2 linked regions of the Saccharomyces cerevisiae S288C genome follow. The gene in region 1 interacts genetically with each later gene. Each region holds a gene or a part of one and is shown on either strand. Other genes may lie near its edges.

Evidence for each region. Genes that interact genetically often act in the same process or in processes that back each other up.
Region 2: of GIS4 (region 1) and GIS2, extra expression of one rescues a mutant of the other (dosage rescue), as found in Saccharomyces cerevisiae (one study listed by BioGRID).

The regions. Positions count from the first base shown.
Region 1 is NC_001145.3:255,592-260,107, reverse strand, and holds GIS4 (Gis4p), read left to right. Parts: upstream 1-1,691; coding exon 1,692-4,016; downstream 4,017-4,516. Other genes in the region: DNA-binding transcription factor YAP1, read right to left, coding at 4,308-4,516.
Region 2 is NC_001146.8:166,805-169,627, reverse strand, and holds GIS2 (mRNA-binding translational activator GIS2), read left to right. Parts: upstream 1-1,837; coding exon 1,838-2,299; downstream 2,300-2,823. Other genes in the region: RTC4 (Rtc4p), read left to right, coding at 380-1,585; trifunctional dihydropteroate synthetase/dihydrohydroxymethylpterin pyrophosphokinase/dihydroneopterin aldolase FOL1, read right to left, coding at 2,531-2,823. UniProt on the Saccharomyces cerevisiae protein: May act in the sexual differentiation pathway.

The sequences.
Region 1 (4,516 bases):
ACTTCTCATAATGAAACCAAATAGAGTGCCTATATTAACAACATTTTCTTCATGTAAACAATATTGGCCGCGCTGATGACGAACGACATTCAAATGTCTAAAACGGCTAAACTTAGTGAATACATTTACAAATTCATTTCTGTTTCGGAGGGGTGACAGAATGACTATAAATTCCATGCTTAAGACTTATCGCCGATATAAGTAAATATTGAAATGAAAATTAATCACCATCGACCGACTAGAGTTCGCATAAGTATATTATCGTGTACGGTGTAAGAATATAAATAAATGACGAACGGTCGTCAAACTTAATGGGAGCTGAAACACAAGGATCCGAATTATGATAGGGTAGTGAATGGCGACACATAAGCGAATAAAGAGAGATCATAATGCTACTGTGTAGAAATATTGATCACTTCTCGTGGGTTCGTAAATCCTCGGGGAAAAACTACAGTATACTTTGTATTCGCAAAAATATTACCGTTCCAAATAATAGTATGCCAACGATTATCAGCAAGTTCATCTCATTCACAGTACCCAGAAATACGAAATGAACAACTTTACACAACGATGATTCCTTTTCTCATAATACTTTCATTCGATTCATCCTTATATATTACTCACACACATCAGTTGCTCCAAAATCTAATAACACTGTGATCCCTGTTCTACTACTCTACTTTAATTAATTCCATCTTTTAACAACCTATACTATGGAATATAATTGATAACGATTTTAATTTTTTGAACGAGTAGCCGATAGACCAATATTACCTGCTGTTAGAATCAAATATGAATATAGACAATGTAATTATGTAACCAGAAGGAATCACAAGAAAACAGAATACACAAATAATCAAGTTAGTATGGCAACTTGGCCGAGTGGTTAAGGCGAAAGATTAGAAATCTTTTGGGCTTTGCCCGCGCAGGTTCGAGTCCTGCAGTTGTCGTTATTTTTTGCCTCTTGATGGATTTTTAAGTTTTGCGCTCATGCTTGTTATGATAATAGGAGAGCGAAATGCGGTAATTTTGTTTACGTCCATAATCATTTTTTCGTTTTGAGATTATTTCGGATCGGCAAATGCATTTTTTTAGCTCTGGAAATGTTGTTTTCACTTTTTCGCTTGCTTATGTGCATCCTAGGACTTTAGTTCACACCATCGATTATTTCTGTTAGGTTACACAGCATCTTTTACGTAAATGGCATGTGGCGATTCGCCAACTGGTTTCTCCTCATCGTTCCTAGCGCGGGGCTGACGGCCTTCCTCTGTGTTTTCAGGTAGTATCATCGCTATCGCACTCCACCAGCTACGAAGCCGGTGCAGGCAGAAACATTACTTGCATAGTAATACACGAAATTTATTTACTTTAAACCTTTATATCGAATTTATATCCCTAAACATTGAATTCTTCTCTTTTTTTTTCTTTTTTTAATTAGTTTTTTTCCTATTGTAGTTTTTTCCATCGCAAGCTAGATAAATATCTTCAACTTATTCACTTTGGCAGGACCAGATTTAACTGACTTGTGTAGCTAAGGAACGTGAAGGCTGAACAACAGCGGGAACTAAGTGCAGAATATATCGGCAGAAGTTTTGCAGAAATAACCCCTCATTAACACTCACTCTCATCCTTCAACTGCTCGAAAGACGGTTAACAAAAACCATCAAAAAGCACTCTGTTACTTAAATATAATGCAAAAATCCGTTAGAGTGGGCGACTATTTTGACAATGATGACAATGGTTTGTGGTCGTGGTACTTAACAAACCTCAGATTAGGCGATTTTGAAGAACTTATAGGCAATCAATTAAAATACACTCTGTTAAAAAGATTTCTGAATAGTCATTTTTATGGTGATAACAATATTTCGGCCAGGCCAAACAAGAAGATTTTGTTAGTTTCCATCCCAGAGAATGTTCATGAAGATATCTCCATATTGGAAATCTTCCTCAAAGATTACTTTCATCTGGAAAAATTAGAACACATTCAAATCTCAAAATTAACTCACTCCCACTGCTACAATCATGAAAATCATTACCTATTGACGGACAACCTCAACAATTTCCAAGACCCTACCTTTTTAGAATTTGCGAGTACAAGTTGGCAAGTTCAAAAAAATTCCAAGGCTTTAAACAATAACAATAGAAATTCAATACCACCACCCACAATATCTTCATCAAAAGCTTCAAACGGGAAGCTAGAATCAAACGTTTCGGATGATCAGTGGTCAAATATAAATACCCAGACTTCAACAGCTACCCGAACTAATACGAATACGAGGACTTTGACATCTCCGGACACAGTTGATATAAACGTTACATCCGTGAATAGTCAAAGCAATAATAATGATACGCCTCAAGATAATGAAAACGAAGTTGATGAAGAGGATGCCACAAGTTCTATAGTCCTAAATTTTTCTCATTCGCGAACAGTAGATTCAAAGCCTAATAGACTACCCAAAATTTTTCCATCATACACTAATGAAGACTATACACCGTCACATTCCGAGATAATGTCAATAGATAGTTTTGCTGGCGAAGACGTATCATCCACATATCCCGGACAAGACCTGAGTTTAACTACTGCCAGGCGCGAGGATGAAAGTGGTCAGGATGAAGTTGAGGATCATTATAGCAGAGTCTCACATGATCTAGGTGACGAGAGTATCGATCAAGCAAGTTATAGCATGGAAAGTTCGGTCAGCTACACTAGCTATAGTAGTAGCAGTAATAGTAGTAGTGCCCACTACAGTTTAAGCAGTAGCAGCCGAGGTAATCCAAAACGTGAAAACATCGATCACACGAATGCCACCTATGTCTCTGAATTGTCAAGTATAACGAGTTCTATAGACAATTTAACTACTTCGACAACCCCAGAGGAGGAGGATAATTTAATTCATCATAACTATGACGCCCAAGGGTATGGATCAGGAGAGGACGATGGAGAAGAGGTTTATGATGATGAAGATCTTTCTTCTTCCGATTACTCAGTACTATCCATTCTACCGTCAATCTCAATTTGTGATTCTCTAGGGTATTTTAGGCTAGTTTTGCAATCTATATTAATTCAGGATCCAGACACCAAAGAAATTTTTACTGCGATTAGACAGTCAAACAATAAACCTACAATGGCAAGCGTTACCGATGATTGGTTGCTGTATGATTCCAATTTTTCAATGAATAATTTACAAATTCTAACACTTCAAGATTTGCTAGATATCAAGAGATCATTTCCAAAAATTTTATTTTACACAATGGTTATTGTGACAAACTCCGGCAAACAGGTTGAAGAAGAATTCAAAAATCCCAATTATGATAATAGGGAAGGAATATCAAAAGAGCAACCTCTAGATTCTGAGTTATCATTAACTAACGACCCGCAACAATATTTCCCGACTGCATATAATAACGGTTACAACGACTATATTGACGATGAAGACGATGAAGACGATGGTGACGATGCTTCTTTATCAGAACAGTCAGGCCCACAAATGTACATACCAACTAGAATGGAATCTAACGTTACTACAGCACATCGTTCTATTAGAACCGTAAACAGTATCGGGGAATGGGCATTCAATAGACATAATTCTGTTACAAAAATCGATAAAAGTAATAGTAACGAGTTGGATAACTCTAAAACAGGTGAAAGTACAGTTTTATCAAGTGAACCTCATCCAATGACACAACTGTCGAACTCTAATACGACTTCCTCGAATTTTAGCCATTCTTTGAAGACAAAAAATTCTCACAAACCTAATTCCAAGGGTAACAATGAAAGTAATTCCAAAAATGAGTTGAAAAAGATAAAGAGTTCCATCAATGCTATGAGTGCCGTGGAAAGGTCCAAAAGTTTGCCTTTACCTACATTACTAAAGTCTTTAAGCGGCATAGATAACCCTACTCATGCCACTAACAAGGATAGAAAGCGTTGGAAATTCCAGATGAATAGGTTTAAGAATCATAAAAACAGTGGTTCTGCAGGTACGGATAAATCTCAGCGTTGTGCCATCATGTAAAGAATACTTTACCACTATATATAGATATATATATATACTTGTATTATAATTATAATCATTATTGGTACTATTGCACTTACCAGTTTCTATATTGACATTGAAGGTGATACAGAGAATTCATACATAGTCTAAATATATTTAAAGTATAGGTTGTGTACATAAAAAAATACCGAGGTGATACAATCTACCTACTTTCGGCGAAAAGGCGAAGCAAGGTAAGTTAAAAAAGTTTAATTGTAACATTATAGAAAAAGTTCTTTCGGTTACCCAGTTTTCCATAAAGTTCCCGCTTTAGTTCATATGCTTATTCAAAGCTAATTGAACGTCTTCTGCATTGATGACAACCCCTCTTTCTGAACATTTTGCCTTTGCCATTAGCTCGGAACATAAACCATCGACATCAATATCTGAGTATTTCGGATGTGTTGTTATTCTATCCCAAATTTCCGAACACCTTAGTAAAGAGCCTTCCTTAGATGGAACGACATCATTATCATTAT
Region 2 (2,823 bases), on another chromosome or scaffold:
CTGTTAATATACCTTCAAGTCTACATACATATATATAAACTGCATTTGGCTATCTATCGAACGTAAGCAGGAAAAAAATGGCAATTCGATTGAAAATCCAAAACCCTTTATGATACTGAAGACAACTCCAGTAATTGAATAGGTATGGAATAGTAATTCTCTGAAAACTCCCTTGAAAATTGGGAGGCAATGATACTCCTATTTGTGCTGCATCTCAATTGTTGTGGTAAATAGCGTCCTAAACTTTTTTTTTTTCCTATATATAGATGGCGTCGCTAAAATGGGAAGCTTTGAAAAATGTAGCGATGAGATCACATTAAAAGGGTACTGTATGTGCTCTCGAGACCTTAGCACAAATTTTTGACCTGCGTAGACAGAGATGGTTGGGCCTGGTCTGGGAATTAATCGAGTGAGGAGAAAAGGTGTTTATTCCACAAAAAAGGGAAGTGGTGATAACTTACTGTTAATGAAAAGACAAGGAAAACATGACATACATGATAGAGAAAGTGACGACTTATCAGGCCATGATGCCTTTTCCCCCTCAAAAAAGCGCGGCAAAATAGACAGTATCACAGAAGATGAGATTGAAGTAAAAAAGCTTTCCACTGTGGCCACATTTGATAAACTTTCGAGGTCATTTCCAAATTCAGAAGTACAAGCCGCAAAGAATGCAGCACTCAGAGGAAAAGAAAAAGAAGAAGAGAAGGTCGTTTCTATCCCACTAATACAGAATTTGAAAAATGAAGATATCGAGTCTATCAAATGCAGGAACAATAATCTTTTAGACGGTAAAAAATTACTCTTGGAGGCAGAACTATCGGCAGTTGAAGATAACCAAATCTTCTCCTCTTCATTTCCCGAGGATAAAAAGCTATCGTTACAAAGTTGTTTGAGTTCTAAAGAGCAGATAATCAAAAAACTTCAAGTAAGGGAAGAATACATGAGCAAGTTCAAACTACCACCCATGTTGTTTTCGGATGAGCTACTCACTGAAGTAGAACCCTTCATGCCCATTGTAATGGACATATTGGAGGGAAAGATATCGTCTGTATACTATTTTGAAGCAAAAAATGCATTCAAAAACTCACAAAAGGCTTACTTGTCCGTAGATGAGTTTAGAAAGTTGAATTTAAACAAATTTACTGCTGGATTTTACGGCCTGAAAAGGCAATTGAGGGTTGGCGAAGAAATCGCTAAGAGATATAAAAGGGCACTCACGCACAATCAGCCCGCAACCTTAAAATGGTGGGGGATAACAGATTTCTGTAACTACGTTTTGGCTCCAGAAACCCTTACGTCTTTTTGTATTTACCAATTAAATCTCTCGAATAAATCTTGCTCGTCGAAGACACCGAATAAACATCCAAAGCAACAATTAAACGAGAAGGAATATTACTACGATCCCGAATTAAGGATGCTAGCCTATGACTTACTCGAGGATACAGTTGAATACGGTATCATAGTAGCCGACTCTGATCCAATTGAGCAATGGGAAGCTGCCATAGAGGAAGACCGTCTGCGGGAACTGAAACTCGATGTTCATAACTATTCCAGCAGGAGATGGCGACTGGATACGCACGATTAAACAGGTAGTATATTGCCGTTTGTTGCCTTTATGGCTTAGGGATTTGAGCTTTATAGTAAGAACTGCTGTGGTGTCATGATAGACGAAATGCTGAAAAAATTTTCTTTTCGTTCCTTTTCTCTTTTGGCAAGAGTTGTAATAAGGTCATCGATGGATTAGAAATGCTCTTTCTGCTTTGGGGGCACTTGAGGATTGTATTATTTTAAGGCTTTCCCTTCAGAAATCAGGAAAAAAGAAAAGAATACGAAAAAGATGTCTCAAAAAGCTTGTTACGTTTGCGGTAAGATTGGCCATTTGGCAGAAGACTGTGATTCTGAAAGACTATGTTACAACTGTAACAAACCCGGTCACGTTCAAACGGATTGTACCATGCCAAGAACAGTTGAATTCAAGCAATGTTACAATTGTGGTGAAACCGGTCACGTTAGAAGTGAATGTACTGTGCAACGTTGTTTCAACTGTAACCAAACCGGCCACATCTCCAGAGAATGCCCTGAACCAAAGAAGACCAGCAGATTCTCCAAAGTTTCATGTTATAAATGTGGTGGTCCAAACCATATGGCTAAGGACTGTATGAAAGAGGACGGAATTAGTGGATTGAAATGTTACACTTGTGGTCAAGCTGGCCACATGTCCAGGGACTGTCAAAATGACAGGCTTTGTTACAACTGTAACGAAACTGGCCATATTTCCAAGGATTGTCCAAAGGCTTAGGTGAAACATCCACTGAAAAAAACAAAGGAACAATCACTTATCATGCTATATTTCATAGAGGGGAAAAAAGAAGCACAAGTAAACTGAATATTTAAGTTTATTTTCTATATCTTTTCTATACTTCATTTCACTTGTTTCCTCCCTTGGTTATTTTTAACGATTCTTTATTATGAAACAGGAAAAAAAATTATTACAAAACAGAATTACATATTTAATCTATATAACTAACCTTTATTCCAAACCTTTATAAATAGCATCTGCTAATTTAATGCTCTTCGAACAATTTTTAACGTCATGGACCCTAACCATGTCGCTGCCGAAACCAATACACGACGCTACCACCGCTCCAGTAGCAAAGTCTCTTTGCTTCGCATCCACATCTTTTGTGATATGTCCAATGAATTTTTTGCGCGATGGACCCAATAAAACGGGCATATTTCTGAGGTTAACATACACTTGCGAATTGTTTGAGTTCATGGTGAATGAGTAGTTCTTTAAAATGGGGATATGTCTAATAATTTGTA